Macaca mulatta: one gene and its partner. The protein of the gene in region 1 interacts with the protein of each later gene in a pairwise test. Links are inferred from orthologs where the notes say so. Each region holds a gene or a part of one and is shown on either strand. Other genes may lie near its edges.

Evidence for each region. The genes of interacting proteins can lie anywhere in the genome.
Region 2: the proteins of UBQLN1 (region 1) and SRGN interact in binary tests that used the Homo sapiens proteins (3 or more experiments, as listed by UniProt). The two-hybrid records come from large-scale screens. The link is inferred for Macaca mulatta from reciprocal best matches to the Homo sapiens genes UBQLN1 and SRGN.

The regions. Positions count from the first base shown.
Region 1 is NC_133420.1:114,604,482-114,608,048, forward strand, and holds part of UBQLN1 (ubiquilin-1), read right to left. Parts: intron 3,093-3,567; coding exon 2,830-3,092; intron 1,662-2,829; coding exon 1,503-1,661; intron 1,026-1,502; coding exon 791-1,025; intron 1-790. UniProt on the Homo sapiens protein: Plays an important role in the regulation of different protein degradation mechanisms and pathways including ubiquitin-proteasome system (UPS), autophagy and endoplasmic reticulum-associated protein degradation (ERAD) pathway.
Region 2 is NC_133414.1:80,543,205-80,546,855, forward strand, and holds the end of SRGN (serglycin precursor), read right to left. Parts: intron 995-3,651; coding exon 751-994; 3' UTR 533-750; downstream 1-532. UniProt on the Homo sapiens protein: Plays a role in formation of mast cell secretory granules and mediates storage of various compounds in secretory vesicles. Required for storage of some proteases in both connective tissue and mucosal mast cells and for storage of granzyme B in T-lymphocytes.

The DNA of each region.
Region 1 (3,567 bases):
AAGGAAGACATCTACTTACTGAGTCCAGTCTACAGAAAAGTGGACAAAAGTAAATTTCTAACCTGTTCACACATGAGAATCTGCTTTACACAAACACACATCTTAACCCCACTATGAAAAATTCAGCTCCACAAAGTCTGAGGGTAAGATCTGGGAATCTGATTTTTAATAAATCTGGCAGGTGCTCTGATGCAGCCAGTATAGCCTTGACCTCAAGACGCGTGCTTGACAATCTACTGATCTAAAAATACAAAACCAGGCTAAAGACAGCAAACATGTGCTCTAGTAACAACCATACAGATAACTAAGTGTTCTCTCTACATTTAAAGCTTCCATTTAAAAAAAAAAAAATGTGACCAGGTGCAGTGGCTCACGCCTATAATCCCACCAATTTGGGAGGCCAATGCAGGCGGATCACCTGAGGTCAGGAGTTCAAGACCAGCCTGACCAACATGAAGAAACCCCGTCTCCACTAAAAATACAAAATTGGCCAGGCGTGGTGGTGGGCGCCTATAATCCCAGCTACTCAGGAGGCTAAGGCTGAGGCAGAAGAATCGCTTGAACCCAGGAGGTGGAGGCTGCAGTGAGCCAAGACTGTGCCACTGCACTCCAGCCTGGGCAATAAGAGTGAGGCTCTATATCAAAAAAAAAAAAACATGAAAAAGATAGTTTATAAAAGATACTCACCATACACACACACACAAAAGCACAAAGAATAAGAGTATAAACAATGTTTTAATTATGTAAGTGAGGACAACAAAGAAAAAAGCCTGAGTTGTTATAAGCATACCTCCTACTCCAGGCACCAAATTTGGCGCAGTAGTACTCTGCCCAGCAGTGCCACTGGCAGCACTACCAGTAGTGCCACCCACAGTGCTGGTAGTGCCGCTGGAAGCTGATGAACTCTGGGAAGTCTGTGGAGCCCATGGATTGGGTAGTGGATCTCTATTTTCTGTACGGGAAGGTTGACTACCTTCACCAGAGGATGTATTGCTCACCAAGGAAGCAAATGGATTACCACCAAACTGTAATAAAGACAAAAAAATCACAAATAATAAGCTTTTGTTTTAAATAAGACAAGAAACTTTTTTTTTTTTTTTTGAGACGGAGTCTTGCTCTGTCGCCCAGGCTGGAGTGCAGTGGTGCGATCTCGGCTCACTGCTAGCTCCGCCTCCCGGGTTCACGCCATTCTCCTGCCTCAGCCTCCCAAGTAGCTGGGACTACAGGTGCCCACCACCACGCCCGGCTAATTTTTTGTATTTTTAGTAGAGACGGGGTTTCACCATGTTAGCCAGGATGGTCTCGAGCTCCTGACCTCGGGATCTGCACGCCTCAGCCTCCCAAAGTGCTGGGATTACAGACATGAGCCACCGTGCCCGGCCACTAAACATTTTAAAAACTGAAAACCACATTCCTCATATAAAAGCTACCCTCAGTCATACACATATTTGTGTTAAAACAGAAGCTACTCCTTGGCCTGAACCTTGGAGCCAGTGGATCACCTGCTCTTGTGCAGCACTCAGCATTGGTTCCTGAATATCTGTGTACATGCGCCTTAAAGCATTATATCCCCCTGGGATGCTTTCTAGGTTGCTCAAGGCTCGGTCCTGGTTCCTCATCATTTCCTGCATCATTGCTGGATTCCTGGCAAGTTCCAACGTCTAAGAAAAAGATTTCCGAAAAAATTTAAAAAGAAAAAAAGGCATTGAAATACACATGAATTACATGAATTACTTTATTAACTGCCATTAAACAAAGTTTATGGGAGGCCACTGTTTTGGACCAGCCTCCTGCACTATGCCCCAGCAGACCAGACCAAACCAAAATGGAGCCACTTGTGCCAAGTGCCATGTAATCAAGTCAACTATGAAAAGGGCCAGTTTCCCCCTCAAAACCATAGTAAGCTGCAGTCAACGTGAGTCACTGTAACAAGAAAGAGTTCCCTCCATTTTAACCCTATTAGGAAAGTAACTTTGAAATGACCCATCTGCTTTTTGTTTGTTTTTGCTTTCTTCAGCCCTTTTATGCCTATAAAGCCAACCTCTTCTGCTCAGCTCATGGGAACACTCTATTTTATAAAACGAGGTGTTGTCTGATTCTAGAATCACAAATAAAAACCAATTAAAGCTTTAGAGTTGTTGCAATTTTGTTTTTTTTTTTTTGTTTTTGTTTTTTTTTTTTTTTGAGACGGAGTCTCGCTCTGTCGCCCAGGCTGGAGTGCAGTGGCGCAATCTCGGCTCACTGCAAGCTCCGCCTCCCGGGTTCACGCCATTCTCCTGCCTCAGCCTCCCGAGTAGCTGGGACTACAGGCGCCCGCCCCTGCGCCCGGCTAATTTTTTCTATTTTTAGTAGAGACGGGGTTTCACCGTGGTCTCGATCTCCTGACCTTGTGATCCGCCCACCTCGGCCTCCCAAAGTGCTGGGATTACAGGCGTGAGCCACCACGCCCGGCCGCAATTTTGTATTCAATATACAAGGCAGGAGATTATTTTAAATAATCCCTGGTGTATTTCACCTCAAAAAAGGAACTTAGCATTCAAATAACATAAAGAAGGAAGCACTTCGTTAAGAGTGAATTTCCCATCTCCAACATTGGACTTTTTGATTCTTAATCCTTTAAAATAAACTATTTACAAAGATCCCTCAATTTAACAGAAAATTCAGAGTTCAAATAGCCAAATTAGGGCTTTGTTGAGTTTTCTTAAACAAAGGTAAGGATTTCTCTCTTTAGCTTAACCATACATATAGGACAATCTCGTTAATCATAGAAAATTACATAACAAATATATCATTTTTTAGCTAAACAAATTGAAAGAACTTTCCACATACTTGTCTCATTATATCTGGATTATTCAACATATGACTAATTTCTGGATTTCTCTGTATCAACTGCTGCATTTGTGGATTGGCCATAATTAATTGTCTCATCAGGTCAGGATTTGAGAGCATGCTCTGAACAAAGGGATTTTCCATGATCTGGACCATCATTTCAGGGTTAGACAAAAGTTGTCGCTGCATCTGACTCTGTAGTTCAGAGAAGTTGGTAGTATTCAAACCCAAGCTACTCAGACCTGCAAGTCCCCCAAGGCCACCTAAGAAGACAAAGGGCAAAAACATACAAACCAAAGTCAGAAAATTTATCATTAACATGACATAAACTATGAAGATGCAAAAAAGTATTAGTTGACCCAACAGTCTATCACAAGAAATCATTTAAAAACAAATCGAATACCTATTACTAATATTTAATTCCTATCATTGAAATTAGCCAAAAATTTACACTTTGGTTATTAAATTTAAGTAATAAAATCAACAAAATATATTTTCATGTGTGTAGTATAATACATAAATATATTTGGTCTTTCTCCTTGATCCTGAGTTACTAAAACCTTTGGAATTTTCTGAGTGACAGGAGTATCTTTTATTATTCATTACAAGCCCTTTTTGAAAATTATGCTAATGAAGTGACTTAGGCCCCTGGATAGCCTCAGAAAGGAGCTGGGCACCAGAAAGACAAAGTGATTAAAGGGCTGAAGCTTTCAGCCCCACCCACCAAGAAAGTGAGGG
Region 2 (3,651 bases), on another chromosome or scaffold:
CTAGAGAAACATCTGGCCAAAAATAACTATTTCCTGGGTTTAGAACAAGAGATCCGAGACAACTTAACCTTTGGTTATATTTCTGCTTTAATATATAGTAACATTTGAAAATACGCAGATATCCAGGAAAAAAAGGTAAAGCAGTATGAGGTATTGAGAGCACAACTGTGCTTTAATTTGGGAGTTATTTGGGGTGTTATGTAACAGCAATTGTACTTGTAGATAAACATGTCCACTAGCTCTGCAAACACATTCAAAGGTAATAGTATATAGTACACTCCACACTGTAAAATATGTCAAATACCCCCACTCTACAAATTCACTGTGCTTCACTATTTTTTTGTTTTGTTTTTATAAGAAAAGGGGCATATCTGTAATTCACAATCCAAGTCAGATTCTTAATTTAGGTACGAAATATTACCTGCCAATTTGCTTCTCAAACCATTTTTTAAAAAAAATATATTCTTTAAAGCCATTTTATGGCCATGGGAATCTAATTAATTTCATAATGATGTTGGCTGAATATGATACCAAAAAATGCAGGTATTTTCAAGAACAATAAGATAGATAACAGCATTAAAGCATAATCCTTTAAGAATTCATGAGAAAAAAAGGATGATAAAACTTAAGCTTCTTTTTCAGATGTTTAAAAATGTCTATAAAATCCTTTGTCCCAAGGTTGATCATCTAACCATGGTACGCAAAATATGCTAAATACATTGCCTGGTGTCAAGGTGGGAAAATTCTCTTTTATATCATAAAATCCTCTTCTAATCCATGTTGACCCAAGTCCTGGCTGTCTGAGGGCAGATTCCTGTCAAGAGACCTAAGGTTGTCATGGAAAGCATCACTTTCATCTACTGGTTGGTAATCTTGTTCCATTTCAGTTACGAAGCCACTCCCAGATCCTGATCCAGAGCCGGAGCCGGAACCTGATCCAGAATAGTCCTCAGAAAGTGGGAAGATACGATTCAAGTCCTGGATTCTTGTCTTTCTGAAGTATGAAAGAAAAATGGGAAAAAAAAACAGTAGAGTTTGATATGTGGGAAAGATAATTTTAACAGTTTTTTTTAAAGATAAGGAGATAAATAGAGCGATCTAGTTGCTTAAATTAAGAGATTTAAAAGCTTCCAAATTATTCAATGTTTTAAAACCAACAAAAAAACAGGTCAAATGTTCCTATGTGTTTGCCTATACTTATTGCACCGATCAACTCCACATCTACCTATTGCAGATAAACAGTGTTAATTTTGTTATCACTAGCATATACATTCTATATTTGAAATTTACTTAAGAAATCATTTTTATTTTTATTTTTTTAATTTTTATTTTTGGAGACAGAGTCTTGCTCTGTTGCCCAGGCTGGAGTGCAGTGGTGCCATCTCGGCTCACTGCAAGCTCCGCCTCCCAGGTTCAAGTGATTCTCCTGCCTCAGCCTCCCAAGTAGCTGGGACTACAGGTGTGCGCCACCACACCCGGCTAATTTTTGTATTTTTAGTAGAGATGGGGTTTCACCATATTGGCCAGGCTGGTCTTAAACTCCTGACCTTGTGAACCACCCACCTCAGCCTCCCAAAGTCCTGGGATTACAGGCGTGAGCCACTGCACCCGGCCCAATAAATCATTTTTAAAAGAAGGCCTCTTGGCCGGGTGTGGTGGCTCATGTTTGTAATCCAAGCACTTTGGGAGGCCAAGGTAGGTGATCAATTGAGGTCAGGAGCTCGAAACCAGCCTGACTAACATGGTGAAACCCCGTCTGTACTGAAAATACAAAAATTAACCAGGCGTGGTGGCACACGCTTGTAATCCCAGCTACTCAGAAGGCTGTGGTGACAGAATCCCTTGAACCAGGGAGGCAGAGGTTGCAGTGAGCCAAGATCGCGCCATTGCACTCCAGCCTGGGCAACAGAGCAAGACCGTCTCAAAAAAAGACCTCTTTCTCTCTAAAGGGAGGATAAACTGCCAGGTGCGGTGGCTCACGCCTGTAATCCTAGCACTTTGGGAGACTGAGGCAGGTGGATCACCTGAGGTCAGGGTTTTGAGATCAGCTTGGCCAACATGGTGACACCCCGTTTCTACTAACAATACAAAAATTAGCCGGGCATGGTGGTGCATGCCTGTAATCCCAGCTACTTAAGAGGCTGAAGCAGGAGAATCGCTTGAACCTGGGAGGCGGAGGTTGCAGTGAGCCGAGATCGTGCCACTGCACTCCAGTCTGGGCTACGAGAGCAAAACTCCGTACCCTCCACCAAAAAAAAAAGAAAGGACAAACAACTAACAACTAAGTCAGCCCAGACAGATGACATTTTTTCCTAAATTAAAATTTCCATAAAAGTTCTAATAATTTACAGTGCTTCAACAAAGCTCACTTTTGAGAAATTCTTTGTAAGAAGCTAAGCTTTATATATATACCAGCATATAAACATTCAATTTCCTATCAAAAAATGACCCTGTCTCCAACTTGCATTCATTCAGCTGAAGAGTGCTGAAAGGTAAGGCTGCCTTCTGGGTTGACTGTGATGATTAGAAATTCAAAGAGCACAAAATGGTCCGAGCAATGACGACAGCCCTCGGTGACAGAATAGGATAACGAAGGATCAGAGACAAAAGCTGAGTGTCACAGCTTACAAGTCATTTCCTCCATGAAAATAATAAACCACCAGCATATAACCAATTAGAGTTTTAATTCATGTACACATTCAATAAATATTTGTTGAACATCTGGTCCTTGTTTTGAGGGCCTGGGATAGAACAGAGGCAGACCAATGAAGCGCCTGCTCAAGAAGTTTTTATTTTAGTGGCGAAGACAGACAATCAGTGAATAAATGAATCAGGAAAATCGTAGGTGGTACAGATAAATGAAATTGACTAATGTAATAGGGAGTGACCAGGTGGCTACTTTAGCCTGGGGTGTCAGAGCTGGAAACACAGATTTGGTAGTTAAACCCTTGGAACCAATGGAGGTCATCGACAGAAAACATGTAGATAGAGAAGGGGGACCAGGCCACAGCCAGGGTCACACCAACATGTTAAATATTGAGCAGAGGAAAAAGCACAACCAGAGAAGTAGGAAGAAACAGGATAAGGCAGGGCATGTAAGCCCCAAGACAAAAGCATTTCAAGGGAGGGGTCAACAATTTTTTTTTTTCTTGTAAAAGAAAGGGCCTTCTTCTGTTGTGTGGGCTGGAGTGCAGTGGCATGATCATGGCTCACTGCAGCCTCACCCTCCCGAACTCAAGCCGTCCTCCCACCTCAGCTTCCTTTGTAGCTGGGACCACAGGCGTGAGTCACCATGCCCGGCTAATTTTTCTATTTTTTGTAGATAGGGTCTAACTGTGTTGCCCAGGCAGGCTCGTCTTGAACTCCTGAGCTCAAGTGATCCTCCTGCCTTGGCCTCCCAAAGTGCTGGGATTACATGCATGGCACAGTCAGCCATTTTTGAAGGCAATTAAGGGTCAAGTAAGCTGAAAATAGAGAAGTAATCAGTGACTTTGTCAACCAGGGTGGAGTGTAGGAACAGAAGTCTAGCTGCAGAGGGGGTGAGGAAAGGAGGGAGCAGGCATGGGTGGCCCTTTCAGGAGATGTTATTGTGAAGAGGTGCAGAGAAGGGCAACTGCTGGAGAGGACACAGAGTCAGAGGAGAGATGTTGC